4 linked regions of the Alligator mississippiensis genome follow. The protein of the gene in region 1 interacts with the protein of each later gene in a biochemical or structural test. Links are inferred from orthologs where the notes say so. Each region holds a gene or a part of one and is shown on either strand. Other genes may lie near its edges.

Evidence for each region.
Region 2: the proteins of UBE2D1 (region 1) and E3 ubiquitin-protein ligase TRIM7 form a complex in vitro, tested with the Homo sapiens proteins (3 studies listed by BioGRID). The link is inferred for Alligator mississippiensis from reciprocal best matches to the Homo sapiens genes UBE2D1 and TRIM7.
Region 3: the proteins of UBE2D1 (region 1) and PRKN form a complex in vitro, tested with the Homo sapiens proteins (3 studies listed by BioGRID). The link is inferred for Alligator mississippiensis from reciprocal best matches to the Homo sapiens genes UBE2D1 and PRKN.
Region 4: the proteins of UBE2D1 (region 1) and RLIM form a complex in vitro, tested with the Homo sapiens proteins (5 studies listed by BioGRID). The link is inferred for Alligator mississippiensis from reciprocal best matches to the Homo sapiens genes UBE2D1 and RLIM.

What each region holds. Positions count from the first base shown.
Region 1 is NC_081829.1:60,194,399-60,202,110, reverse strand, and holds the start of UBE2D1 (ubiquitin-conjugating enzyme E2 D1), read left to right. Parts: upstream 1-4,706; 5' UTR 4,707-4,807; coding exon 4,808-4,831; intron 4,832-7,712.
Region 2 is NC_081834.1:49,651,477-49,659,441, forward strand, and holds the start of E3 ubiquitin-protein ligase TRIM7, read right to left. Parts: upstream 3,018-7,965; 5' UTR 2,946-3,017; coding exon 2,529-2,945; intron 1,924-2,528; coding exon 1,828-1,923; intron 1-1,827. UniProt on the Homo sapiens protein: E3 ubiquitin-protein ligase that have both tumor-promoting and tumor-suppressing activities and functions in several biological processes including innate immunity, regulation of ferroptosis as well as cell proliferation and migration.
Region 3 is NC_081824.1:140,162,280-140,169,415, forward strand, and holds the start of PRKN (E3 ubiquitin-protein ligase parkin), read right to left. Parts: upstream 3,013-7,136; 5' UTR 2,939-3,012; coding exon 2,932-2,938; intron 1-2,931. Other genes in the region: PACRG (parkin coregulated gene protein), read left to right, coding at 3,651-3,797, 4,361-4,447. UniProt on the Homo sapiens protein: Functions within a multiprotein E3 ubiquitin ligase complex, catalyzing the covalent attachment of ubiquitin moieties onto substrate proteins. Substrates include SYT11 and VDAC1.
Region 4 is NC_081831.1:65,171,908-65,179,587, reverse strand, and holds the start of RLIM (E3 ubiquitin-protein ligase RLIM), read left to right. Parts: upstream 1-4,665; 5' UTR 4,666-4,790; coding exon 4,791-4,955; intron 4,956-5,954; coding exon 5,955-6,147; intron 6,148-7,177; coding exon 7,178-7,261; intron 7,262-7,680. UniProt on the Homo sapiens protein: E3 ubiquitin-protein ligase.

The sequences.
Region 1 (7,712 bases):
AGCCTTCCTAGGCAATCTATTTCACTGCTTCATCGTTCCAACAGTAAATAAGTTTTTTCCAGATATCCAGTCTAAATCAACTTTACTGCAAGCCATTGGTCTACACCCTGCTCTCTGCAATGGAAAATAAAAGGTGTTTTCTCTCTTCCTTATGGCATCCCTTCAAATACTTGAACACTGCTATCCTGTGCCCTCTTAAGCAATCTTTGCACAAGCTGAACATTGCTACATGTGACATAGATATAAAGACAATCCCTAATACTCCCTTGCCTCCCTGGATCCTAAGCCCATGTTGCTTACAAGGATGCTTTTAGTTGTGTGAATTAACTCAGAAGTCCATTAGTGTGCAGAGACTATTCCAGATGAAAATATACGGCTCTAGTATCGTGCATCTTGTGCAGGGTGCAGCAGGCCACAAACATACATACAGTGTTCTAATCCTCACCAGCTTTAGAGGCAATGCCATTTGGCTTCCCCTTTCTGAATGTATGTTTGAACAGCATTCTGCAGCTGCCAAAAAATATAACTGCATTTTTTCTACAGTTCCTTGTCTGGGTATAGATGAGCTTCATGAGCTACAGCAGGAGAGAATAGGCACAGTCCCTCAAAGTCATGGTGAGCATTTGTGCCCCATGGTCATGTATTTGGAAGAAGCAAGGTCCTAATTTATATATGTCTCAAAACCTAGGTGCCCTGCATCTTGCCGGTATTTCCCACACTTCTATGGATCATGACATTCTGTAGGACCAACAGCAACTTCTTTAACTTAAGATATTGAAGGAGCAACTATAGGCATGTGTGTGGCACTAATGGCCTCAGTACAATTTGGGTATTCTAGTCTCTGAAAGCCAGATACTATTTCAGGGACTTTCCTGATGCCAACAGTCTGCTGGGCTAGTAACACTGCCTCAGCTCCACTGTGCTCTGAGGCAGTATTATTGGAGAAGCTGAGTCAGAAACATAGGAGCAGTTCTTAAGGGCTTGTATACACTGGAGAAAGACTGCATGGTAACAATGTCTCTGAGAGTTCTGTTTAATATTGAAGAACTAAATGAATGATATTTAAACAAGTCTGGAAATTTTAAGGCTAAAAACTATTAAGATGGAGTGAAAATTAAGGCTATATATTAGTAATTTAAGAATGAAAACCTCTAGAGATGTTGGTAATTATAGGAAAGTCAAGCACTACAAAATCAAATCAGTCACAAATAAACTAACACATAAAAGAAAATCCAGCTAAATTATGGTAAGAAATGCACAGTTAAGATACTCAAATAATCTTACCTCTGCACTACAGTGATGACATAAGATGGGGAAAATGATAAATGTCTAATGTCTTCAGCCTTTTTGGGTAGGGCAAGATAATCATCATCTCCATTATCAGTGTAATCTAATCTACGTTCACAAACACTGAAATGTCTTAATCATATTAGGCACGTCGCCACAAGACAGTTTACTCAAGACTAGAGCAAACTATTGTGCAGTAAGCATCACTGTCTACACATACAGATGCTTCCTGCACAGTAATTTGTTCTAATTGCAGGCAAATTTGCCATCTGTAAATACAAGTACCAAATTTACTCAGGAGTAATTACTGTGCAGTACATCATGTGTAGATGGCTGACTGGGAGCAAATGTGTAGATGACTGACCAGGAGACACCTGTCTCCTGGCAGGGGCTGAGAGATTGCTCCCTGCCCCCAGGAGCTGCCTGCTGCCAAGACAGGCTCCACTACTGGAACCAGGGCAGGGACAATGTCCCCATGCCTCTGCAGCAGGGAGCTCCCAGCCCCCACTTTGCAATTGTGGAGCACAGAACAGGGAGGGGGCTGGGAGATAAAAATCATCTCCCAGCCCCCACTCCATGATTATCTGTCTGAGTTGGGTTTACTCTAATAGTAAATTACTCTGGAGGAGGGGTTCTCAATCTCTGGGCCACAGCCCGCTGCTGGGCCACAGCGGGTCAGCTGCCAGTCTGCAGCATGGTCGGCTGCTGGACTGGAAGTGGCTGCAGACCAGCAAACTGTGGCCCCCAGAGCTGGGCAGAGAGACCACGGCTCCTTTTGCAGGGCCAACGGCAGCGCAGGGTTTGGCTCAGATCCCCTGCCCGGAAGATGGGGGATATCCTTACCTGTCTTTCAGCCGCAGTTTGCCAGGTCGCAGCATAAAAACTTTGGGAATGCCTGCTGTAGAGTAAACCCACCTTGGAGCATTTGCACATGTAGATGCACCCATTGTATAACTAAAGGGCAGTTCAGATTGTTGGATTTATTTTCAATGTAACTTTAACTCTAAATTTCCTAGTCTTGTGATGTTTGGTTTTGGAATAATTACAAGCTTCCCTGTAATGTTTCTGACTCTTAATTTACCAATACCTATGATACAGTTACTAATTTTTCTCCATTTCAACATCATTTTTGTAGAGGAATTCTATTAACTTCTTTCTTATAAATTTCCTTCTTTCTGTGCTTGTTTATCATTGCCAGAAAATGTCCTTTAGTTAGTAAGTTTAGTAAGAACCTCTCTTATTAGACTCTGAAGAGTCTGAACTTTAATCAACAGAACGTAGATCTTTGACTTTCTGGCACTACACCTGATCAATCTGAGATAAAAACAACAAGGAATAAAGCAAACAAGTATTGCCTTTGCCTTAGTCGGTAAACCATGCAGAGCAGGTTTACTCCACATGACCCAAAACAGCTCGATGTTTCTTTGACCTTGTGATAGATGAGGCCACTGGTACTGCACACTTCCTCTAGCATAGTTACAAAGATAATCTAACAACTTCTTAGAGTGATATGTACTTTGAACTGTGCTAAACTGAACTGTTTCAAAAGCATTCTAAAGCTGTTTTAGTCTGGCCAATGTTTGAATGTGCCCTTCAAAGGAAAAACAAGTGATCCTGTATTTTCCTCTTTATGATGCATATAAAGCTAAATATTATAAAGCATTATTTTTCGTTTGTTCACATTAGAATTTAAGATCTGTCCTACTTGATATTTTCCTGTGAGAATGAGTAGGATTATTAAGTAAAATAAATTTGGAGTGCAACCAATTAAGTGCTGTTTAACCAGTCTATTTCACTCCCCCTTGGGAACACTTATATGGATGGTATTTGTTGTTAGCAGACCCTGATATGAAGACAACAGTTGCCCAGAAGATAGGGAAGTTATTGGTGAGTCCAGAAATGACTGAAGAGGCCAATCCGAGAACTGCATGACTGCAGACATGGCATACAGTTCCAGGAGGAGGAGCAGCAAATCCTGGTAACCTTGGGTCGTGGCTTGTTCATTTTGTCCCTCTCTCCTATCTGCTTCTATAGAGAGGTGAATTTGCTTGAAATGGTTGATGCTTTTCACTTCATGGCATCATTGGGAACAGGTCAGTGCTCAAGTTTCCCAGGTACTGATGTTAATATGGCATTTCTTCAGCTTGGCTTTCAAGGTGTCCTTGAATCTCTCCTTTTGCCCACCTCTAGAGCGGTGACCATTGGCGAGTTGGGAGTATAGGACCTGTTTTAGGAGCCAGTTGTCAGGAGTTCTTATGACATGCCCTGGCCGACGGATCTGGTGCCATATAAACACAGCTTCAATGCTGGTGGGGTTTGCTTGAGCTAGAACATTGGCATTCGTTCTTCTGTCCTTCCAGTTGTCTTTTCCGAAGACCTTGCTGACGGTCACACTCCCAGGCTATCTGGAGTTTCCAATACGTTCAGAAACTGCTAAACTCTTGGAGTCAATTTCCATGGTACTTTAGTGAATTCTACAGTCTACATACACATTATTACTAAAAGGTTTCTTTTTATGATGTTTGCTACTTTTTTTCTTTGACTGTTCTTAAGCTGTAAAACAGGGAGAGCAAGTGTTCTGATGTACCTGCCCTCTATCATTATCGTGTACTTGTCTCCTTTGTAAGGTGAACAGTCAGTCTTCTCAGTCTCTTTATGTGAGGGTTTTATAGACCCTGATTGATTATTGTTGTCTTTCTGTTCCTTTACTACTTGTTTTGTACCTTAGATTGATTGAGCAGGTGTAGTGCCGCAGAACCAAAGGTCTACCTACCGTCCGTTGATTCAAGTGCAGACTCTTCAGAGTCTAGGAAGAGGTTTTTACTAAACCTACTAACTAAAGGACATTTTCTGTCAATGATAAACAAGCACAAAATGAAGGACGTTTATAAGAAGGAAATCAATATAATTCCTGGACAAAATGACGTTGAAATGGAGTCAAGATTAGTAACTGTATCATAGGTATCAGTAAATTAAGAGTCAGAAACATTACAGAGAGGGCAACAGCCTGGGGGACAAGAAGTTTGGGCCCTGATGTCACACCAGGGAAGGCAAGATTTGGGAGGCCTCCGAAGGTGGCACTGGCAGCTTCTCTGTGGCGTCAAACACGCTCCTCGGCACCCGGTTTCGGGAAAAGGTGGCTGGCGGTCGGGGACGTGCTCCACCTGCTAGCTCCCTGGGGCGAGGGGTGTTTGTCTGCTTTCCTTGCTCTTCCAAGGCGGCCGCCGCCTCCAGTGCGGGCCGCACGCGGTCTCCACGCAGCCCCCTCGGCAGTGACATCCGGGCGGCTGGTCCGCGGGGCCGGGCTCGGGCCCGGGCGCGCGGGGCGGTGGCGTCGGGCGGGCGGCAGGGGGCGCCGTTGCCACGCCGCCGGGACTACATCCCCCAGGCTGCCGCGGGCGGGGCTCGGGCTGCGACTCAAAGCGGAAACAAAGAGACAAGGAGCCGGAGCAGAGCGGACCCCGGCCCGGCCCCGGACCCGCCGCGCCTGCAGCCCGCCGCGCCCCGGCCGCCGCCCCCCATGGCGCTGAAGCGGATACAGAAAGTGAGTGCGGCCGGCGGGCCCGCTCCCTGCTCCTCGCCCGCTCGGCCGGGCCGGGCCGAGGCGGGTGCCGGCAGCTCCGGCCCGGCCCGACCTGCCCGCCGCGGTGGCGGCCATGGGGGCGGCGGCGGAGCGCCTGGGCCGGCGGCGCGAGGGGCGGCCGGGCAGGCCGGGGGCGGGGGCAGAGCGCGCCGAGCTGTCAGCGCCGCGGGTAGGAGGCCGCTGCGCCCGGCGGCGGGAGGCGGGAGGCAGGAGGCGACGGGGCCGGCCGGCCCCTCCCGGCAGCGCTGCCAGGGCCGCTGGGGCGGGAAGCGGAGGCCGCGGCAGCTCCGAGACGGCGCAGCTCCCCGTCTGCCCGCACCGCTGCCCGGCCGAGAGGCGTCGGGAGGTCGCCTGTAGTCCGACCCCTGCTCAAGGCAGCACCATCCCCAGCTGTCTCAGCCCAGCCAAGGCTTTGTCCACCCAGGTCTCAAAGACCTCCAAGGATGGAGATCCCACAGCAAGGGTAGTTTGTTCCTGTGCTTCACCACCCTCCTAGTGAGAGAGTTTTTCCTTATATCCAACCTAAATCTCCCTTCCTGCAACTTGAGACCGTTGCTCCTTGTTCTGTCACCTGCCACCACTGAGAGCAGTCCAGCTCCATCCTCTTTGCAACCCCCTGCAGGGAGTTGAAGGCTGCTATTAAATCCCCTCTCAGTTTTCTCTTCTCCAGACTAAATAAGTACAGTTCCCTCAGCCCCTTTCAGAAGTCATGTCCCCAGCCCCCTCACCATTTCACTTGCCATCCACTGAACTCCTTCCAATATGTTCATGTCCTTTCTGTAGTGGGGGCCCAAAACTGGACACAGTACTCCAGATGTCGCCTCACCAGTGCTGAAAAGAGGGAAACATCAGTTCCCTCAATCTGCTATCAGTGCTCCTGCTAATGCAGCCCCATATGCTGTTAGCCTTCTTCACAACAAGGGCATACTGTTGGCTCATATTCAGTTTATTGTCCACTGTCAACCCCAGGTCTCTTTCTGCAGAGCTGCTGTTTAGCCAGTCAGTCCCCAGCCTGTACTGGTGCATGGGATTGTTTCATCCTACGTGCAGGATTTTGCACTTGTCCTTATAGAACTTCATGAGATTCCTTTTGGTCCAATCCTGGACACAACCTATAGGCAGGTCCCAAAACTCAAACCTACAAGCAGCACTTGTAAGTGACATCCTTTTAAAATGAAAGAACTTGTGCAGACTCTGTTCTTCCTGGAATGCTTGCCCTATAAGTGTCCATCTTTTGTGGCCATAGAGCTGTTTTTTACCATTCATGAGAAATGTGAGTGATGGGTACATGTTTCACAGATAGTCTAAGGTTATAAAGTTATGCTGTCTTGCTGCTGTTACTAATTTAATGGCATCCTTGTATTCCCATCTAGCATTCTATCCTGCTCTCTTCATGTGGATTAGTGCTTGGTTTCTTGTTTAGAATTATGTTTACACAATTATTTGATGAGGATGTCACAACTGGTTAACTGGAAATGAATGAAGGTATTAACCTGAATTATGCCAGCCACTGAACTGAGCTTAAAGTACAGATTTAGGAGCTGGGAGAGTTAATACCAGCTCTGCCACAGATTACTCAGGAAAACTAAGGTAGAGACAAGCTGTCTGTCAAACGAAGATCACTCATCTACCTCGTGGGATTCGGAAGTTCCATTTATAATACTCAAATTCCACATAATGTGTGGAGGTCCTTGGGTGGAAATAATAGAATAAATACAAATTACTAAATATATTTAAAGTTGTTCTAGAGCTGTTCTAGGCTATTTTATTTATTTAGGGGTGTTCTTAACAGTTGATAGGAGACCTTTAATTCCAGATAGCCAGCAGGCAATAGAAGTATTCATGTGGGATCAGTTCTATGGTCCAACTAAGAAACAGCTTGATTGCATTCTGTCCCCAGTGGTGGCCAGGACCAGATGCATCAAAAGACAATACAGGATTTGGAATAATTTGCTTGACTCCCTTTCTTCCCATAAAAGCATCATCCTGATCTCTAGTAGTTAGAAGCATGAATCTAAAATCAGATTATTTTATCCCTCCTCAAACTGTCACTAAATATATTAACTCTGGACTGTATTATCTGTATAAGCAAGCAGTCAGTCTTTGGAATATTGCTAAACTCTTGGAGTCAATTTCTATAGTAGTGAATTCTACAGTCTACATATGCATTATATTAAAAGGTTTCCTTTTATGATCTGTTTGCTGCTTTTTTTTCTTTGACTGTTCCTTCTTAAGCTGTCAAACAGGGAGAGCAAATGTTCCTGATGTACTTGCTCTCTATCATTATTGTGTACTTGTCTCCTTTTTTTGTCTCCTTTGTAAGGTGAACAGTCAGTCTTCTCGGTCTCTTTATGTGAGGTTTTTTATAGACCCTTATTGATTATTGTTGTCTTTCTCTGAATCCCTCTGGTTTTATAGTATCCTTTTTTTGGGGTGGTATGATAAATACTGCATGCAGTATTCCAAAGGAAGCCACACCACTGATCTAAAGCATCTGTTCTATTATATTTGCTGTATTTTTTCTCTGCTTACATTTCTTATGTGTTGTATCATTTTTTTTCTTAAGAGCTCCTCCATGTAGAGGAAGCCTATAACTTGTACGGTCAAAACATTTTTTAAAAGCTTTCTTACGTGGTTGAGTGGTCTGTAAACAGTTCTTTGCACTAATGTGAAAACTTAGAAGTTGGTATTTCAAAGTGGGAAGAACATAACCTAGTCTAACAGTATTCTCATCACTTACCTTAATTACTTATTTTTTATTTGAAATGTGAAAAAAATTCAGAGGGAGAGAGACAGCAAAAGGTTTGCTGAAGTTGGCAAGTCCAACATTAGATTGCTTTCT
Region 2 (7,965 bases), on another chromosome or scaffold:
CTCTGAACCAGTTATTCTCTAAAGTGTGCACCCGTGCCTTCTGCCTTACAGTATCTGATTAAGTGAACTATAGCATACAAAAGCATGTGAGACACACACACACACACACACACACTCTGCCTGGCAACCGACTCCCCAGCCCAGCCCCTGGCTTTTTACTTTTCACTCCATCCAGGAAGAGCACACACAAACTGCTGAAACTTCCTTAGCCTGACGAAGGGTTTTTGAACCTGAAAGCTTGCTTAATAACTATTCTCCAACTATTTGGGTTGGTCTGATAAAAGATATCAAATTCACCCAAGGAACCTTCACAAACACACACACACACACACACACACACACACACACACACACTTTGGTTAGTCTAGAAGGTGCAAATCTACTCTGCCTGCTACTTATCTAGAGTGAAAATGAAGGCAGCGTTTGAGTAGCCATAAGCCTGTGAATCCTGCTGAAAGGGAGGATGACTGTCTAGGGGTATTATCAGCAAGGAAAGGGGATAGGAGCACACTTTTGCCTGACAGGAGTGACACGAGAAAGACATGACCTGAGAGCAGAGGGTAAGGAATGGGATCTGTTGCTCTGCTGACATTTACCGTCCAAAAACAGACCCAGGGCTCATCCTTCCTCTGGCTTAGATTTATGCTGTCTGCATTTCAGAGGTAAATCTGGGCATTTTTGTTTCTTACTGTCTTGGTCCTTGAACATGAATCAAGCATGCATTTGGGTTTCACTGCTGTGTGACCACCCCACACACACATTCCCCTCTTCTTTAGCTATTAAGTGACCATGGACGACTGGTGCCCCCTTAGTTGGGGAGGAGGGTGGGGCATGTGCCCCCCCTGCAACCAGTTCCGGAGACCGGGGTGGGGGGGTCATTTAGGTGCAGGTGACATTTAGAAGGTGCAGCACTAGCCCACAAAGCAGTTTACATGGCTGAATGTCTCAGGAGGATATCGACATATGAGACTCAGCAGTGCATGACTAAGGACAGGAGAATGGGAATCCAGGGCTTGATCCTGCAAAGTGCTGAGTGCCCCCATCTCCTACGGTATTTGTGGGTGCTAAACATCTTTTCTGTTTGCTCAGCACCTGGTGGGATTAAACCTGAGGTGCCAACAGCTCTCCCCTCTCACTCCATAGAGACAACAGCTGGTGACCCAGCTGGAGGTGATAGCCAGCAGCCTGGGAGAAGCTGACTTCAGCAAATAGCACTTTTCCTGGCTTGTTACATACTTGCAGAGCTCTTTCATTAAAATAGAACAGCATGACTTAATCCCTGTCACTTATTGTTGTTGTTGCCCGTCTTCTAACCTTTCAAAATTGATTTTGGATGTGTCCCTCTTTCAGTGCCCAATTTGAAACACGGTCAAGGGACCTGAATTTCAGAAACTTCTGAGCAGGCATTCTCTGGAAGGCAACCCTCCATTAAGGTGGTTTGGATCAGAAGTTGCAGTGGTTTTTTAAATTTTTAGCCAGGATTCATACTAATATTTCTTAAAATACTCATCTCTGCAATATCTCAGATGAGAATTGTGTTTCCAGTTAATTCGAATCTTTTCTCCGATGCCCGATGAAGGGTTTTTGTGCCCAAAAGCGTGCAATTAAAGGATTTATTTTTTTTTTGCAAAAATCTTGTTGATCTAATAAAAATATCACCTCTACTCTGAGCCCTGATTGCAGTTAACCAGAACAATTTTTTCCTCAGTGCAACATAAACCCAATAGCAGTTAGGCTTCACTTTGTTTCCCTTGAAAATTGTGATGCTATTTCCCATTTACACCCTAACACCTGAGTGTTATCTTGTGGCAAAGAGCAGGCACCCACCAATAGGTCTTGGGTTTTCTTATCATCATTTGATTTGAACTCCAGCAATTCTTGTCTCTCTTTCTTCAGGTTATCCAAACGGCTCTGAACTTGCCCCTAGAAATAATAGTAAAAAGGATTTTTATTATGGTTTCTGGTGAAGGTGCCAAAGAAATTCTCCCATGCTAAATATAAATCAGGATATTTTCACTTATTTCACCTTTCATTTCCTAATAAAACTAACTCAGGAGCTCAGAAAGTTTTTGCAGTGCCAAGCTTTTGAAATTACTTTGCTTCAAGTGAATATATATACGGGAGACTATTTAAAGCAGAGTTCTCAAAGTGTCTCATTGTGTGGGTCATACATTCACAGAGAAGTTGTCCCCTTGAACTTTCCCATTCCTATCCATGATCCCTCAGGCTCCCACCATCCCTTTCTGCTTATGACCATGTAACATCCACGTGGCAACTAAAACAATTGCTTATATCAATAGTAACATTAGGAAAGGATATCTGAAGATTTCAAATGTCTTTTACTGTAACTTGACAGCTGGGAAAAGGAAGCAACGAGTACTTTGGGATCTGTTGTCCCACACTGGTCATTGCTTGTTACATGCCAATAAGATATGCCTGAAAACCATTGGGCTAGGTGATTGTTGCATAATTTGGTGATAAATGGAGTATGAACGCATAGAAAGACACAAAGACATACAGACAGATACCTTGTACTCCTCTGCAGCCTCATCTATGGGCACTACTGTATGAGGCCTGTGCTCCCGGGACCTGTCGCATACCACACAGATTGTCTTCTGATCATCTTTGCAGTAGAGTTTCAGCGCTTCCCTGTGCTTCTCACAAAACCCGTCTTCCTCGCTCCCCTTCACGCCGCGTGTGGTGAACTGGCTGATAATCTCGGACATGTTAGCCAGCTGTCTGTTGGGCCTGAAGCTCTTGTGCTGAAATACCTCTCGGCATTGAGGGCAGGGGAAGTCCATTTCCAGCTCCTTCCAGCTCTTTGCGATGCAGGCTCGGCAGAAATTGTGGCCACATTCAATGGACACCGGATCTTTGAAAAACTCCAAGCAGACCGAGCAAGTGGCTTCGTCTTGGAGGTTCCCAGGGAGAAACACGGCTGCCATGGCTCCTTCCCTGAGAGCAGAAACTGATTTCACTTGAACTGTACACAGGGAATGAATGCCTGGCACTGAGCAAAAAGTGGGTGTTCCCATTCCAGGAACCAGCTGGTGCCCTGAAGTCATTTCTGCTCCACCTAATCACTTAAACCAGTAATGAATCACTTGCCAGTGCTACAGCTGGGGGAAAGAAACTCAGATGGAAAAAAAAAAGAGGTAGCGAGGTCTCCATATGAAGATCATGAGGCTGATGTTGGTTCCTTATTCCGTTCCTTATTCCTGGTTCCCTAGTCCTTATTCCTATAAAAGAGAGAATGTCATTGTCTGTGCATATGTACTAATTAATATGTAAAATAATATTCCACATCAAGTACAGAGCCCAAATGAAGGTTAGATTAGGATGGGATTATGGGGCAAAATACTTCTTGGGACACCCCAAATTTCATGGCGATGCCACCAGGGGACTGTCCCAAAGACCCCTGACCACAGTCCCACCTGGCCCAAAGCACGGTTTGGCTGTGCCAGGCTGCCAACTAATAGCCCCCATGCCCACTGTACTAAGTATAATGGTTTAAATAAGGAACTGGCTTTCAGGCTGGTATTATGGCTAGAAATTCTGCTTAGGCCACCCATCAGAATACCTCTGTGCCACCGGGGGACTGTCCTGGACATCTGTGACCAGAGACTTGACTGACCAAAAGTGTGGTTTAGCCGTGCCAAGCTGCCAACAGACAGCACCCCAGCCACTGTGCTAAATGTACGGACCCGAATAAGGAACTGGTTTTTGGACCAGGATTATACTCAGAAATCCTTCTTGGTCCACCCCAGTACATGACTCCATGGTTCTGGGGGACTGTCCTGGACATCTCTGATCAGGGACTTGCGCAGCCCAAAGCATGGTTTGGCCATGCCAAGCTGACAACAGCCAGCACCCCAGCCGCTGTGCTAAGTACATGGAACCGAATAAGGAACTGGAATTTGGGCTGGGTTTATACCCAGAAATCCTTCTTAGGCCACCCCACGCTGTGCCTCTGTGGCATCAGGGGACTATCCTGGACATCTTTGATCGCAGACTTGCTCATCCCAAAGCACAGTATGGCCCTGCCAGGCTGCCAACTGACACCACCCCCATAGACACTGTGCTAAGTATCGGGATTTGAAGTTTGGGTTGGGATTATAGCTAGAAATCCTTCTTGGGCCACCCCAGACCACATCTCGGTGCACCGAGAGATGCTCCTGAACATCTGTGACCAACCACTTGCCTGGCCCAAGGTGTGGTTTGTCCATGCCAGGCTGCCAAATGACAGCACCCCAGCCACTCTGCTAAGTATCTGGACCCAAATAAGGACCTGGATTTTGGGCTCGGATTATACCAAGAAATCCTTCTTGGACCACCCCATGCTGTGCCTTTGTGGCACCAGGGGAGTCTCCTGGACATCTTTGACCACAGACTTGCCCGGCCCAAAGCAGGATTTGGCTGTGCCAGCCTGCCTACTGTAAGCAGCCCAGCACAGCCCAAAGTATATGGATCCGAATAAGGAACTGGATTTTGAGCTGGGATTTTAGATGGAAATCCATCTCTGGCCACCCCATAACACATCTCTGTGCCACTGATGAACTGTCCTGGATATCTCTGAGCAGAGACTTGCCCAGCTCAAAGCATGGTTTGGCCGTGCCAGGAAACCAACAGACAGCACCCCAGCCACTGTGCTAAGTATACGGTCTTGAATTAGGAATTGGTTGGTGGGCTGGGATTAGAAATGGAAATGCTTCTTGGGCCACCCCATGTCATGACTCTTTGGCATCAGGCCACTCTCCTGGACACCTCTAACCAGAGTCTTGCCTGGCCCAAGACAGACAGACATTCAGATGGACACACAGACAGCCAGACAAAGCCTTTTATTATGTTAATGGATACGGGGGCTGCAGTTAGCAGCATGGCATGATGAAACCACGCTCTAGGCTGGGCAAGACTCTGGTTAGAGATGTCCAGGGGAGTCCACTGGTGTCACAGAGTCATAGTGTGGTGTGGCCAAGAAGGATTTCCATTTCTAATCCCAGCCCAAAAAGAGTTCCCTATTCAAGCCATTGTCCTTAGTACAGTCACGGAGGGGAGTGGGGGGGGCTGCTCTGAGTTGACAGCGTGGCAGAGCCAAACTGCGCTTTAGGCCGGACAGTACTCTGGTGGGGGATGCCTGGGAGAATCGCCCAGTGCCACAGAGTCATAGAGTGGGGTGGCCCAACAAGGATTTCCATCTCTAATCCCAGCCCAAAAAACAGTTCCTTATTCGAGCCATTATACTTAGTGCAGTGGCTGGGGGACTGTCAGATAGCAGCCGGGCACAGCCAAACTGCCTTTTGGGCCGGGCAAGTCTCTGGTCAGAGATGTCCATGAGAGTCCTCTGGGGTCACAGAGGTATGCCATGGGGTGGCCCAAGAAGGATTTCTAGCTGTAATCCTAGCCCAAAAGCCTGTTCCTTATTCGGATCCATATATCTAGCCCAGTGCCCGGGTACTGTCATTTGGCAGCCTGGCACAGCCAAACCGCATTTTGGGCTGTCACAACCCAAGGGTGTGATTTTTGTTTGTGTGTGCTTCGGCACTGCTAAATTATTTTCCCGCCATTTGTAGCTTTCTTTGCAGGGTGCATTTCTTCGTTGCAGCACAGAAATGCACGTTGCAAGGAGTTCCCGCCATTTGTATTTAAATTTGTGCCCCACTATTGGTCAGTTCTAAATTATTCCCACGTGGCGGCTAGCGATTGGCTTACTAGCCGTATAAGAGGCTTGAGTGGTTTCCGCCCAAGTCGGAGAACTTCGAGCATGCTGCAAAGTGCCTCTAAGGAGATTTGACTTGCGGCTAAACTGATCGATAGACTGATCACCTATCGATTCTGCTCCCTGTTGCCGAATGATCCCTCGACGTACCCTTCCCTGCGCGCAAAGTTCCACGGAGCCTCGAAAACTTCCTGTGAGTGAATCAGAGTTCTTTCCAAGTCCTTAAACTAGGATTTAAGCGAAGTATTCCTGGAAAAGTTCCAGCCTACACCGCGACCATCTTCGGTATAAGTAAACAATCTTAAACAACCATTAAGCGTCCGTGCCTAATTCAAGCGTGCCGCCTGCCTTCCCTGACCCGGCGTGTCCAGGCTGCTGGCCACAGCCCGCGGTGCACAAAAAGGGCCTCGGATTGTTCCCGGCCCGCACATGGGCCAGACAAGTCTCTAGTGAGATACACCTGGTTGAGTCCCCCGGTTGTGCAGAGGTATTCTGATGGGTGGCCCAAGAAGATTTTCTAGCTATAATCCTAGCCCAAAATCCAGTTCCTTATTTGGGTGTACATATTTAGGACTGTGTCTGGGAGGTGGTTTCAGCTGGCAGTTTGGCACGGCCAAGCCACGCCTTGGGCCGGGCAAGTCTCTGGTCAGAGATGTCCAGGAGAGTCCCCTGGTGCCACAGGAGAGTGGTCTGGGGTGGCCCAAGAAGGATTTCTGAGTATAATCTCAGTCCATAATCCAATTCCTTATTCGGTTCCACATATTTATCACTGTTGCCTGGGTCCTGTCTGTTGGCAGCCTGGCACGGCCAAACTGTGTTTTGGGCCGGGAAAATCTGTGGTCAGAGATGTCCAAAAGCATCCCCTGGTGAAACAGAGGTATGTTCTGGGGTGGTCCAAGAAGGATTTCTTGGTGTAATCCCAATCCAAAATCCAGTTCCTTATTCAGTTCCATGTATTTAGCACAGCGGCTGGGGTGCTGTCTGTTGTCAGCCTGGCATGGTCAAACCGCCCTTTGGCCCAGGCAAGTCTGTGGCCAGAGATGTCCAGGAGAGTCTCCCGGTACCACAGAGGTGGGGTCTAGGGTGGCCCAAAAAGGATTTTTGGGTATAATCCCAGCCCAAAATCCACTTCCTTATTCAAGTCCATACACTTAGCAGAGTGGCTGGTGTGCTGTCCATTGGCATCTTGGCACAGCCAAACCACACTTTAGGCCGGGCAAGTCTCTGGTCACAGATGTCCAGGACAGCCCCCCGGTGGCACAGAGGTATTCTGATGGGTGGCCCAAGAAGAATTTCTAGCCATAATCCCAGCCTGAAAACCAGTTCCTTATTCAAGCCATTATACTTAGTACAGTGGGCATGGGGGCTGTTAGTTGGCAGCCTGGTATAGCCAAACCGTGCTTTGGGCCAGGTAGGACTGTGGTCAGGGGTCTTTGGAACAGTCCCCCGGTGGCATCGCCATGAAATTTGGGGTGTCCTAAGAAGTATTTTGCCCCATAATCCCATCCTAATCTGACCTTCATTTGGGCTCTGTACTTGATGTGGAATGTTATTTTACATATTAATTAGTACATATGTATAGACAATTACATTCTCTTGTTTTTAGGATGTGGAATTCATTAATTAAAAGTTTGTATTGGGTCTAGATTAGCTTTGAAAAAGGAACCAGGAACTGGGAACAATAAATAAGGAACTAGGAATAAGGAACCAACTTCAGCTTTGGGTCTGGATCTGGGCTGCAGGTTCTTTGCAGTAAGGTATTGGGGGAGATAAAATATAACTTCAGGTGTGAATATCAGACCCCGATGTAGATCTGAACCTCATAGCTGTCTCGCTTTCCAACTGAAAAATTGTAGTGGGATTCCAGATCTGCACTGAACAGTTCTTACAAGACTGCACAGAGGCAATCACTTGAGCCCATTGGTTTCAATGCTTCAGTCACATGCTTAGGAAGTGATTTGTGGAACACGGATGCTGTTTTTAATCAGAGCCATAAATACCAGTGGGGCAAGAAAATCTTTCCAGATTTGCATTCCCTGCCTGGCACTAGACCTGAATATTGTAACTCCACAGGAGACTCAGCCCACAGTTACAGAGCAGAGCTGGATTTTACATCTAGAGCTGCTTATGAACTCCATGGTGCGTCTACACATATGCTTTAATGTGCAGTAAAGTGTCATGTAAAAAAAACCCATGCTTTTTACTTAATGCACATTAAAATAGGCTAATGTGCATTAAGTATCACTTTA
Region 3 (7,136 bases), on another chromosome or scaffold:
AGGGGCCTGCAGCCCCGGTAGGACCGGCACAGTCCCTGCAGCCCTCCCACGGTTGCGGGCCCCCATCTGCCTGCTGGATGAGAGAGGCTGTTTTAAGCTTCCCCATTATATTGTATGGGCAAAATGGCGAAACAGCGTCGAAACAGTGACACTGTTTTGACAAAACAAAACAGAACAGAACAGCGGTTTCAAATTGAAATGAAATTCAAAACAAAATGCTGTTCTGTTGAAACCTTGAAACTCAAGCCAAAATGGAACGGTGCCGTTTCGCACAGCCTTACAAACCAATATACAGTTGGGATATAACAATTGTTTTGAGATTTTTTCTGATCAATTTATATTTTTCATTCTTTTAAAGTCATATCCTATGAATGCAAAATAACTAAGTAACAATAAAGAACTTGGTAGATTAACCCTAACACAACCTCAAGCAACTAACTCCTGAGCCTTTCTTCAGAAATGTGAGATACTTACACCTTTTTAAATTGTAACATACTAATTTTTTTTACAGGAATTAGAGAAAAATAAATAAAATGTATTCCTGTAAACAAGAAACCTGCCCTTCATATATTTTATCAAGATATAAGTACATGTGGATACTACAATATTTTCCCTGAAATCAAGACTTTTGCATATTCTCTACTGTATCAGAAAACTACGTGCAGACAAAAGGCCAGGTATGGACTGTATAGAGCTATGAAGAGACTTATTTCCATGAATATTCAGAGATGGAAAACCACATGATCAAACTTGTGCTTTTTTGACAGGGTTGGGAAGAATTTAGTTTTAAAGAATACCACTACAGTACATGTTTTTACCAGAACATTACTGTTAAAAAGGAATGAACATTTCTAAGGGTAAAAGCCATGAAGTTTATAGTGTCCAAAATCCTTTGAGTCAATTCCATTACCGAATTCTTGGATTATTACTGTTGCTGCCTGGGCAATGTGTCCAACAATCACAAAACTGATCAGTTCTCAGAAAGTGGACAAACACCCAATATGAAGGGCAGAGAAAAGCATTTAAAATCTGTGGGTGGAGGAAAATAATTTATTTTATTTAGTATTAAATTCATTTAGCATCCCACTTTCTGCTCCTTTGGTCTTGTCTGTGAATAATTAACAAATTACAAAAATGAAATTAAAAGAGAGACGCAGGGGGGAAAGAGACGTAGTAAGGGAAGAGGTGGCTTTTGTGTTTGGTGGAGCCCTACAATGATGGAAGGGAAATACTGAAGATAAATTGTCTCTTCTTTCCAAACGAAATTATAGCCAGTGAAACAACTGAATGGTCGTGCTATCAGAAGGCTGCACATTGCTAACTCAGGCGCCCACTATAACTTACAGATATTACACAATTACCCAACATAAATTTAGACAGGCCACACATGCAAAGTAATACAATTAACAAGTTAATCCTGCAATAAATTTAGACCAGCTACATGCGGCAAGTAACAATCACACAATAAAAATAACTACCCTGCTTTAAAGAGAGACAACCAGCTACAAAGTTAGCATTTGAGAACAGGAAACCACAATATAACTGGTTTCTATCCAGTTTTAATTTGAATGTAGAACAGGGTCCTCAAGGATGACCAGCACAGCACCTTACCCAGATCACACAACTGCCCCGCTTTAGTTCTGCTGCCAGGAAGGGTAACACCAAGGTTTGAATTACTGGGGAGCTCAGTAGGGCTGAGTCCCCTGCATAAGAGATGAGAGCTCCCCTGTAAGATTTGAAAATCATAACCTGGGGGGAGTCTCCAATTTTATTAGAGCATAGTGATGAGCAGCCAGGGCTGGATTAACCCTTTAGTGGGCCCTAGGCAAACAAATTCATGGGCCCCTACTTTTTTTCAGTCAGTAATTATAATATGTAAATAAGCACAACTGGTCCCCTTCTTCACTTAAGGCCCTAGGCATGTGCCTGGTTTGCCTATGCGTTAATATGGCACTGTGGGTAGCCCAATTGCTTTTGCAAACCCCTGGAAGAATCAAATTTGATGTAATTTGAACCCTGGGTAACACCAGAGCAAGGGAAGATAAGATGGCCCCAATGGCTGCCACCAGTATTTATAATGATGCACTGCAGCAAAGCTGGAGGCAGTTAACTAGAAGAGACCATGCCAGCACTGTGGTTGGAAGAGGTTAACCCGGAAATAATTAAAAAAAAAAAAAAAAAGGATGAGGGAGAAGTTTGGGCCTTCACAACTTGGCCCCAGGGTCAAGAGAAAGATATCGGGACCGTCTAAGGTTGCCAACTCTGTTTGAATCTCTTCTGAGAGGTTTCATCCCATGACATAACGACACACAGCACAAACATGCCTGCATGCATCAGTTACGGTTTACAGTGTGTAGACTTCAGGCCAGGAAGGCCAATGCACGATACTGCTACATATGAAAGACCTTCTGGACTACTGCATAAATCAGACTCAACATTTCCTATTTATTTGAATGAGACCCCTATCACTGATCTCCAGGGTGGGGGGTGCTCATAGCAGTCTCCTGAAGATTTGTATCTAATTCCTGGAGACTCCAAGGAAATCCTGGAGGGTTGGGAACCCTGAGGCCTTTGCCTCTGGCTTGGGCTGTAAGTAAAGGCTGGGGCATCTCACACTTCCCCTTGCCCAGCCAACCCCTTCCTCTCTCGTGGCCAAGGACCATGGCACAGGCCACCTGCTTCAGGGAGCCAGGGTGCGAGGACTGACACCCTCGTGACTCAGGGCCAGGGGTAAGCACAAACAGGGGCCCACGTGGCCCCAAAGGCCTGCGGGGGGAGGGGCACACTGAGGGCCAGTGGAGGGGCGTGTTCTGTGCATGACGGAGGGGGGGGTACGTCACAAGCTCCGCCGCGCGCTGCGTCATGGTGGCCGCTGGGGACGGGGCGGGAGGAAAAAAAAGGGGGCGCTACATCCGGGTCTCACTCACTCACCGATCATAGCCCCGGCGCAGTGAGGGGTGGGGGGGGAGGAGCCGCGCTGCGCAAAGCCTCGCCCTGCGCCCTGCCGGCCGCTGAGTCACACTACGCCTGCGCAGCGAAGTCGCTGCTGGTGCCGTAGCTGCTTCAGCGGGCGGTTGGGAAAGGGAGGGGCGCAACCTACGCTGGGGAGCGTAGTTCTCACGTGGGATCACGTGATCGACGCAAATTGACACCTCTACTCCTCCCCCTTTCCCTCGGCTGCCGCACGTGACCGGGCGCGGCCAGCCGACAGGTTGTTGACGCGTTGCCTAGCAACCGGAACGCGTCCCTAGAAGCGCGCGCGCGCTGGCGACTGACTCGGTTATAGCGTCCACCCCGCGCGCAGCCGCCCCTGCCGCGAGCCCCCGCGGGGTGAGGCGGGGGGAGCATCCCATTGTGGGGCGTAGGGGAGGGACATCCCATTGTGGGGGTGGCAGGGAGAGGGTGGAAAGCATCCAATTGTGGGGCGGGGGGAAGCATCCCATTCTGGGGTGGGGTGGGAGGGACATCCCATGGGGGGGGGGAGGGCTGACTTCTTTTTGCATCTGGCTGACATGTTTCTGATCCCTGTTTTGTTCATTTAATGTAAATTTTCTTAGATTTATTCCAAATGCAATAAATGTAACCCTTGCCCCTGGTTCCTTTCTCATCCCTACTTTCCTTTTATTTCTTTTAGGAAGGTGCGGGGCAAGATGGTGGTGGAGCAGCAGGGCGCCTGTGCCCTGAAGCCAGCATGGCACCTCCCCCCACAACAGCAGCTGCCACTGCGGCCTGCCAAGAAAGCCAAGCCACAGGTCAGCGACGGCTTCACCGTCAAGGCCATGATGAAGAACAGCGTGGTACGTTGCCTGCCTGCCTGACTGTGTGGTGCGCCCGGCAGGTTCTGCCTCCTGCCACCGTGCTCCCCACGGGGCCAGAGGTTGGGCAGTGGGAGAGAGATGGCATCATTCACTGGGGCTTCCAAAGGGTCAGATGTGGCCCGTAGGCCAAGGTGTTTGAGCACTGCTGGTTTAGTTTCATGTGCCTGTGAAAGACGTATTGAGAGAGTGTTGGGGACTGTACTTGCCACAGGGTTGTGTGGGATTGGCAGGTCTTTCTGTGGAGGTCAGCGGTCACTGATAGAGCCTCCAGGCCTTGGGAAAAGCCCATGTGAAGGAGGAGATGTCCCCTCCAGAGGGTTTGCTCCTGAGCTTCGTAATGCGTCAGGTCGGCGCCGTTGTGGCACGATGTTGTTTTTTGTCGGCCATTCACATTGCATCAGAGGGCCAGGGTATCCACAGGGCATGCACTCGATCGTACTGTGCAAAAGCATGGCGCAAAAATGTTTTCTTCTCAAGTTGCTGTTTGGCGCGATTATGACAAATGTCAAATCATATGGCAAAAATCTGTCTCTGGCACCCAGGTGACTCCCAAGGCCTGGGCAGGGCCAGTGGTGACCAGAGAGACAGGGGACAGGAGATGTACAGTAGATCATGCTTCAGAGCCTCAGGTGAATAATGTAATGGTACTAAGTGTGTATTTTTAGTTAACGTAGCTAACCCAATGTATTTTTAGCAAACCCCTAGGAAAAGGTGAGGGAAAGAAACAGTTGAACATCACTAAATAACCATGAAGATAATGAAAAACACACTTTTTAATAATAACTTCCAAAAATAACTCTCACAATACTAGTGAATAGTACATTGAAAAGGATGTAATTCTCCAGCTGATAGCTTTTAGGATGAAGATGACCCAGGGGTGGATCCAGTAATCTTTACTTTCATTAATAGTCCCTAGAGAAGCACTTCCACTGAAGATCCTGGGATGGCTGCCATCAGTAGAGAGTCCAGAATTGGGCCCTGTGTTTGTAATGAAGCTTTTTTGCAATAATTGTGTTAATTGATTGCTCCCATCAAATGTAATAAATAAAAATCAAAGCTTCTGCTAGTGCAGAATGCAGCTGCTCAGTTTGCAAGTGGAACGAGCTATTACAAGTACACAACATCTGTGCTCAAATCTCTGGACTGGCTTTTTGTTTGCTTGTGGGTACAGTTCAAGGTGTATATAACAGTATTCTTTTTTTCTCTTTTTTAATTTATATTTGTTTTCCTGGGGAAAAGAAAAAGAAATGCTAGAGACTTCTCTCACAGGTCTCTGGAATTCACTATATACAGCAAATATTGACAATTAAGCATAAGCAAGTCTACTTTAAATATAAACAAAAACGTTCTGTTCTAGAAAATACCTGATAAGTAACATTTTCCCTTTCTAGAGGTCCCAAATAATCTTATAGCCAACAGTAATTAAAAGCAAAGCTTCTCCTAGCACTAACCTATTATCATATAGTACTAAGAACACAATGTATGTGATTTAATATTTACAGTCAAATCAAACAAATTCAGCTTTTGGGGGGAAAAAAGTGTTTTCCATAATTAGTTTTCATTTTTACATTTAACTCTAAAAAGATAATTGGCAACATTAATTAAAAAATACATTATTATATTTTGATCATAAATTACCATTCTGTAAAGCCTCACACAATGTGCTTCAACTGTTTAGAAGATGTCCTTTTGGCTTAAGCAGGTATTAGATTAGATCCAACAAAGCAACATGAAAAGAAAGAAAGGTTTCAGCCATCTGTGGGTTTCCTTCATTCTGAAATACCAAGTCTTGAGTCCCCTTTTTGAAGGACTGGGGAGGCTTAATAACAGAATTTTAGACTATATAAGGAGTAAACACTTGTCGGATGGCAATGTCCAAAAGCCCTCCTTTAGACTGCAGTCTTATTATGTAAAAATGTAGGCTTACACTCCTGCAAATATGAGCACTTAATTGTAGGCAAGTTAGTTTCACTAAGGTCATTCGTAGTGAATGTAAATGTATAAATCTTTTTAATGTACCAGAACAACATATTGAAAAAGTTGGAGGGATTTCACATCCTGCTTGTCTCTATTTCCTCAACTTTGGCAATTGTTAAACTTTCTACCACTGGTTTGATCTCACTTTTAAGGTTTTATTTTTTATAATACACTTTATTACATGATTAGATTGTACTCTAGCATATCTAAACCAATGATTATCAACCTTTTTTAGACCTAAGGCACCCCTTGTTAGCCCTTGGGACCCCTGTGAAAGTGATAGCTCTTAGCTTCTGCTCTTTTTTTTTTTTACAATGGGAAAACAATGGAGCAAGTCTTTTGTTACAAGGGGCTCAGAAAGACCACAACGGGTCAGAGTGTTTTCAGTAGGTACTATGGATTCCTGTTTGAAATCACTGGGCACCTATCCACGTACATTGAGGCTGCTCTGACACACTAATTACAGCACATCATAATCCATAGTACCTGTGCTGGAATGGGGTAACTACCATGCTCCAGCAGAATCCAGTGTCACGTGTATCAGCATCCCTGTGTTGATAAATGACAGTTGGGGGTGCTTTAACTAAAGCTCATTTGATAAGCTTTAGTCAAAGTGTCCCTGCTGCCATTTTTCAGCGTAGGGATGCTGATACACATGTTGCTCCTGATGCTTTAATTAGAGCAGCTGTAATTAAAGCACCCCCACCCCCCGCCTCCCAGAGCATGTGTATAAATGCCTACTGGGTCTATCTTGGGAATCATGTGCATGCCTAACAGTGCTAATATTGCATGGCATCCTGCATCACCCTTAAAACAACCTGACAGCAGTCTGAGATTCACTGATGTTGAAGTGGCAGGGTGAACTTCCAGAGGTGGCCGTGAAGCCCCTGGATGCGGCCCTTACTTTCTGGGCAGTCACCCTTCAGTTGTCCGTCATGTCTTAATATCATATACTTTTATGAGAGAGGCTGCCTAGGACTTCCCAAATTGCTCTTTCAAATGACCACCAGAGCTGCTTGCAGATGTTAAAAAAAAAAAGGTACTTTAAACATGCCATGTTCTCATGCTGAGCCCAGCACATGCCCACAAGAGGCAGCACATCAGTTAGACCCAGCTTGCCTGACAACTGTAGAGATCGGGTGCTTTAGTGGGGCTTTAATTTAATAGCTAATTAAAAGCTTTAGCTAAAAGTGCCAAAAAACCCTGCTGAAATGCCTGATCTATGCAGATGCTGCAGATCCAGTTTGAAGTAATGTGCTTCCTCTTCCAGTAAAGCACATTTTTTTTTTCTTTTTTAATGTCTGCAAGAAGCCCAGGTGCCTGTGGTCACTGCTGTATGGG
Region 4 (7,680 bases), on another chromosome or scaffold:
TTGTGCAATTTTTGGGATGTATCTTGGGATGGAAGATGCTGTGTAGGTGCCAAAGTATTAATGATCAAGATGGCTGGGAGTTTAAGCATTTTACTGTTGCTTAGTGTCCAAAATGACTTATTAAGCATCTAGTTTAAGTAAATTCCTGGAACCGCATTTTTATATTTTTCTTTGGTGGGGGGGTGTGTGTGTGTGTGAAGTCAAGGCTTGAAGACTAAAGCTTTTCCATATTGAATGGACATGGCTAGTTCTTGCTCACTTATTCCTTGGAGAGCATAAAAGTCGTTCTTCTTCTGTAGATAGTAAAATATTGAACAATGGTGGATATTCACTAATTGCTAGCATAAGCTTGCTGTACTTATGCTTATGTCTGGTGGTAGAAACATAGCTAGTCTTTTGTTCTGGAATTTGTTGAGTGTGATTGTTGTGTGACCACTAAAATCTTGGAGTGGGAATGGCAATTAAGCTTTTACTGTAGTTAATATATCTGAGTGTTCAGCAGCTTAAAAAATACACCTGTTTAAGTAAAGTCTCTGTCCAGACTCTTGTTTCCAGCGAACTTTAGACGCATCTTGCTGTGCTTCCATAAAAATGTTCAGTTTTATTACTGGATATATCAACTAAAGTTGGCTATAATCAACAGATCTGCACTTACTACTAAAAGACATGAGCCCCTGCAGTCTTTTGTGTCCTCTGTTGACAGCTCTTGGCTGACGGAAGAAAGGAAATTCTGTATTATACTGAGGTAAGAACAAAATCTCACTTGGAGTTTAAAGCAATATGAGCAGTGTAGATAATATGGCTACATCTATATTTTGGAAGCCATATGTAACATAATAGGACAGGGGCGGGCAATTATTTCGGGCGCAGGGCCACTTACTGAGTTTTGGCAAGCCATCAAGGGCTGCGTGACAGGCAGCCGGGGTAGATGAATATTAATTTTCTAAATTGTTAGGGGCCCTGTGGGCCAGATAGAATGGCCTGGCAGGCCACACCCCTGTAATAGGATGTCACCAATGATGCCTGCCTTAACATATTGGCTAACATGGTATATTTTGCCCTTATGTCATTTTTGCCCTACAGTAGCATGCTGAAAAATTGACAACAGCCTTAAAATATTTTCCATTTGTAGACTTCACACTTCAGGACTATTGTGAGTGGAGCGCATATTCTGGGGCTTGTAACTCTCAGAGATTTAACTGTCTAGCAGTTGTTTTTGTGAAACTGTAGTATGAGAACATGTTTGTAGTGCTGTGCGAATGCCACCACTCTACATCCCATTCTGACAAGGCAGGAAGGAGCTATGCTGTCTTTGTAGTACTTCTGGTGTTTTGTAACTGGCATCTAGTATTATAGGGTTTGGAGAGAGAAGCCATGTATCCCATGGAGGAAAGGAAGGACCTCAAGGAAATGAAAAGTACCAGAGAATGGAGCAAGGACAGGGGAATGAACGCTATCTAAGTAGAAAGTTTATTCTATTCCTTTAAGTGGTCATTCTTTGCTGCTTCTTCCCTTGCAGTTATTAAATATAGTGACAAATTGCTCATTTTGAGACATCTGGAGATTAGAGTGGGGCCTTGGACGTTTTGGCTTTTATGCATCAGTGTAGCTTCCCCACTGAGCTTCACTTGCAGAAGCCCCTAATGTAGACTTGCTGCCTCTATATTAGACCTATGGTGTCTACCCTGTTTTGAGAGTGAGGTATGCCACACTAGTGCAGAATTAATACCAGGTGTTTGCAGTAGTGAAGTATAGTGTGGTGGTAGGTACACCAATATAAAAATTTGTAGCAGGCAGCCCTATGTTTAACTGAATGCTCAGATTCACCACTGGTTCCTTCTTCCGGTAATGACATCTTCCTAGGCCAACATGAAACTGTGCAGATGAAAAGGTAAGAAGATGGATTAATGAAAGGAAGAGGACTGAGGAAGGAAAACCCAGTCCAAAATGCAAGCTGGGGAAAAAATAAGGTTGAAAATATTGCCTAAGAGTAATCTTTGACTGTTTTCCGTAGTGTTTATATATTTTAATACACTCGAGTCCACTTTCTTGGCCTATTAAATGATTGTCTCACCTCACTTCTGTTGATGGGACACTGTTCTTGGTCAGGCTTCTGAAACGGAAAAGGCCAGTGTTTTCCATTGGATAATCAAAGCGTGCTCTTAGTCAGAATGAAAATGATGAAGCATTAATAGTTAACGCAGCGTCTTTCTTGAAAGAATGTGTACTTGTCATGGGATTATAGTATCACATGCGTCTTTCAGCATATTGTTTGTTCCTTTTGTTTTATAATTGGGTTTTAGAGATAAGAAACTTTCTTTTCTACCGACCTTTCCTTTGCTGTGTGATAGATCCACATAAATGGAGGAAACTAGCTCTAGAGTTGGAGTTCATTATTCAGTAACAGCTGTCAAATGCATAATGAAAAACTAAAAAAGTATTTTTCTCAACTTTGTACTTAAATGTTAATTTTAACTATAGCAGCCTACATATTTAGGTGTCTCCGAGTTGACAACCTCTTTAACCAAGATTTGTTTAGTACAAAATCTTTTCTAGCACTGTCAAGAGTTCTACACAAACTTAAAAAAGCTACTGTAATAGACAAAGCATAGGTTAACCCCTGTTCTGTATTACTTGTGTGAATTTTGAAGCTCACACTCATCCTTATGAGCTGATCCCAATATATGAGGGTATTAACAGTTACTTAAAATGTACAGAATAGCACACATTTCTCACTTTTCAATGCGTTTGATGGTACGAGTTTTTGGACTGCATCTATGTTTCTCAACAGAGTGACATCAAATCAACTTTCACTTCACACATATAGGAGCCTTCTGTTGGCTACTTTTGCCTGTCAGAGGTGAAAGTATTAGCAAATGCAATTGGTATTTGTGGGTGTCTTCCATTTTGGAAAATAAATACAATACTAAATAATACAAATATGAAAAAAATCTATGCTTTGTATTATGTTAGTGGCAGCAAAGGAACTTGCATGTTAGTTAATAGGATGACTAAAATAAAAACAGGGTTATAGAATCATCATTTTAAAAGCCAAAGTAGAGAATATATATAGTGTGACTGACTTTGTAGTTCTTGAGCCTCATACAGTGGTAGAATGCTGGATTTTATAGTGTTTCTTTCTGTGCTTAAAGCTCTAAAGGTGATGTTACTTTGTGAGTTGCAGTGCACTGGCAGCCACTGAAATTACACAGGCAGAGTGGTCTTGGAGGTGACGCAACACTTCTTATTTGCAGAAGTGCCGGCATAAACTGGGCAGTGTCTGACTTGCCAGCTGTGCTGAGAAACCAAAAAAAGTGTCAGTTCTGTGCACTAGACAGCTGCTAAAGCATCTTATTTGGAAGTTCTCCAGCAAAAGGCAGAAAGTGAAATGCTTTTTTCTTCCAATATTTTCACATAGCTTTAGCTGTTATTTAATAAGAGGGAATATTCATGGTGGCAGTGGAGCATTTTACCACATGGAAAGCTAGCTAGATAACCAGCTCTGTGAGTAATTGCAGATTCTAGCACTTTATGCGGTGGATGGTGAGGCGCATGTATTAAGGAAAACCAGTTATTGTCGAGGTTTCATTTGAATGCATTTGCAAGGGTTTAAGGTTACCATTGTTTCCTGATTTTGTTCGTCCTTTGCTTTTAATACTGATCAGATGAAGACATTACTCTAATGTTGAAAGATGTGATGAAGGTACTTGTCTTACTGAAATAGTAAGAGGGAGACAGGAAGACATTTACTTGATTATTGCTGGCAATATGTCTGGCATACAAGTTTCTTTTTGTCCTCTGAATTCTTGTCATCAAAATTTACTGGTTGCAGACTGGCTTCTAGTGCATCTAAGTTATACTCTCGATACTGGATGCTGGAATTAATTTCTAACCTTTTCCTCTCTTGAGAAAACTAAGGTCTTGCTATCACAGACAAAATGTTTTCTGGAACTCTCAGTGTATTGTGCTTTTATTCAGCTTCTTGGCCCATATTTCTGCCAAATATATCTGGCTGTTGGGGGATCGATGTTACTCTTACTTGGCTGGAAGGCCTGACATGAGGCACTTCCTTCCCTTAAGAATAACTCTGGGAGAATAAAACCTGTAAAACTTGTCTTCTAGTGTAATGTAAAGTTGGATTCAGTGACAACTTGCATCCTTTACAGATTGTCTGAATACATCCTTTAGACTTCTCTAAATTGTGGTTTGTGATTTGCCAAGGAATAGCAGCTCTGAGGATGTATGTGCTAGAACAGGGGTGGGCAAAATGTGGCTTGCGGGCTGGATGCAGCCCACCAGGCCATTCTATCTGGCCCGCAGGGCCCCTAAAAAAAAATTTAGAAAATATTTATCTACCCCTGGCTGTCTGTCACGCGGCCCTCAATGGCTTGCCAAAACTCAGTAAGCGGCCCTCTTCCTGAAATAATTGCCTGCCCCTGTGCTAGAAAAATAGATTTAGACTAGGGGTAAGCAATGTTTTTTGGCCAGAGTGCCAAAAAATCCACCATGTCTACCTTGGAAGGTGGCGGAGTGCCGGCATGTCAGAAAAACAAAATGGGGAGGGTGGTATATGGCAGGACTCGCTGCATAGTAGTATATTTAATAATCATAAATGTTGCCTTTATTGTTGTGTATTCCTTTTTTGTTGAGCATGTTGCAATGAGAGAGAAAAAAAGAGACAAGAGGAAGAGGAGAGAGAGAGAGAGAAAGAAAAAGAAGAGCAGAGAGAGAACCAGACACATGCACACAGAAAACCATGTGCACAAACACAGAGCCAGAACACACCCAGAATGGACACATGCATATATGCATCCAGAACTAGACACGTGTGTGCGCGCACAGATGCAGGACCAGACCAAGGCAGACATACGCACAGAACCAGATACGTGGGCACACGGAGCTGGGCTCCTCTGTCACTGGACAAAGTCAGCTCAGAGGCACACGTACGCCTGCTGGTATGGAGCTAATGCCGGAGCCCAGAGCAGATGTTTGCAGCCTTCCGGCTGCAGCCAGCCAGGGTTCTTGGTAGCTGCTGTCAACCACGGCAGAGCTTGTAGCCACCCAGCTGCCTCCTGGGAGCAGCCTGGGCTTTGTGGCTGGCAGCAGCTGCCTAGAGCCCAGGCCGGTGGTGGCGTGCTGAGCAAAATGGCCTTATGTGCCATGCTTGGCACACGTGCCAGGGGTTGCTGACCCCTGGTTTAGACCTTTCGTGCCTGAGCAACATTGAATATATAAAAGGATGGACCTGAGGTTATGGCCTATAGTTTTCATGCAGCTTTTCATTGTCGAGATGTGCAGTTCTGCTGAAAGTTCTATGTGGTACTGCACTTCTTGATGTTCTTCTCTGGAGAAGAGACGACTGAGTGGGGATTTGGTAATAGTCTTCATATACCTGAAGGGCAATTATAGAGAGGATGGAGATAGGTTTGTCTCTATTGCTGTAAGAGACGGGTCTAGGAGAAATAGCTTTAGGCTGCAGCAGAAGAAATTGTGGTTGGAGATTACGAGAAACTTCCAGACTATACGATTAGTTAAGTATTGGAGCAAGCTATCTAGAAGTTGTGGAATCTCCATCGATAGAAATTTTTAGGAGCAAGTTAGACACTTGCCTGGGATAGTTTAGTCACGGAGGGTCTTGCTGGGAGCATGAGGCTAGATTACATGACCTTCTGAGATCCCTTTTAGTTCAACAGTCTTACGTTATTGCGTCCAAAAAAGAGAGACTGATTTTTCAAAACAATTTAAATGCTAATCCCTGTGGTCATACAGGATATCCTCATAACTGGGACTTCTAGAAAAATAAAATTCCATGTTTTATGTTTAAGATGCTCAGTTTAAGTGAATGTCCAGATCAGGAACAAGTAAATCATTCCTCTAAAAGTATCATTAAGTTTTATAGGTTACCATAACTTACATGTACCCATGGTTTAAAAATATTGTTTTTCTTTTTTCAGATTCTCTTCCACTCTTTCATCAACATGGAAAGCTCAGATTCTAATGATAAAGGAAATATTGATCAATCAGAAGCTCAGCGTCGTAGTCAGCTGGATCGATTAGATCGGGAAGAAGCTTTCTATCAGTTTGTCAATAACCTGAGTGACGAGGAGTACAGGCTTATGAGGGATAACAATTTGCTAGGAACTCCAGGTATATCAGAATACATATTTGTATATTAAAGTTTTAATGTTACCAGACTAATTTTAATGACCTGTTTTTTTTTCTTGCTGCTGTGCCATTAAATTCCCCCCCCCGGTATTCTTCCAACTACAATTGTATGCCAGCGTAAGAGAGTAGCTCTCTACTTATCTGAACGTACAGTATGTCTTTTCTAGAAAGGCAATACATATAATTTAGCGCTAACTAGGATGAAATTGAGTTAACAGAAGCAGAGTTTATTTGCTTTGTTTATGTTTACTCAGCTTAAAAAAGGACATCCAAAGTTTGTCTGAGGCCTGTTCTGGTATTGGCCTTGTGTATGGGAGAAGGTTGCACCAGCTTAATGAAGAGTACAGATTTTAATGGCAAACTAGCTAAACTGGTGATGGCCTTTGTGAGGAGTGTATTTCAGTTTAGCTTATTCTTGTTAGAAATCATCTTGGAGAAACAAAAATAAGCCACTTGAAAAGATTAAATAAGTTTGTCCATCCAGGAGCTTGCACTGGTTTACCTGAATTGCTATTAAAACTTGCAAGATGGCTTTTTTAATGCATTCCTAATAGAGGTAAGCTAAATTTGAAATGAGCCAGTCCAAGAAAAATATGCCAACACATGTTGGTAATAAATCAGTTAAAAGTAATACCTCTTATAGTTGTCTCATATAGGCAGAATCTTAATTGGTTTGGAATGGAGAAGACTGATGAGATTTTTCTTAGAGATTACAGGAAAAAGCTTTTCTCAATTTTGTTCTAAATAGTTGGTAACTGTATTTTGGATGCTGCAGTTGTAGCTGGTCTTACCTGTGAGCAAGGATGCTTTGGGGGGTTCCACAAGCTGCCCTCTGGCTAAATTTCTAGAAGTCAGTGAAGAATATTTATAAGCAGTTAGCTTTTTGTTAAAAGAATATTCACAATCTCTCTGAACTGCAGTCTTAAGACTGTTTAAGATGTACATAATTCCTTCCTTATAGAGATTATTTGGACATACATATATATTGGGAAATCTTTCTTTGTTTCTTAAGGTGAAATTACTGAAGAAGAGTTGCTGAGAAGGCTACACCAAATTAAAGAAGGTCCACCACAGCAAAACAGTGATGAGAATAGAGGTATATACAGTATTTGTGAAAACTCTTAACTTTAGCACCTAATACGGACCTTAACTTGAGTGCAGGAGTGGAACAAGTTAAGCCTAGGCAGGTGCAAGGTGAGCTTTGTTTAAAAATTAAGTGAACGTTCTATTTGACACAACCTGCAAAGATCAGTTTTGGACAGATTTCAAGTATGGCATCTATTACTAGCGCCACAATAAGATTTCTTCTACGTTTCTTTAGTTGACTTTTTTTTTTGTTCAAATTTCTTTGCATTCTGTTCCCTTCTGAGATATACCCATAAGTCCCTTGTTTTCCCACCTTCACTCCTTTTGCTTTTGTTATCCCTCTACAAAGGAGAAATACACACAGTTCCCATTAGAGCAGTGCTTCCCAAACTTCTCCTCAGCATGACTGCATTTTCTCAGCATGACCCT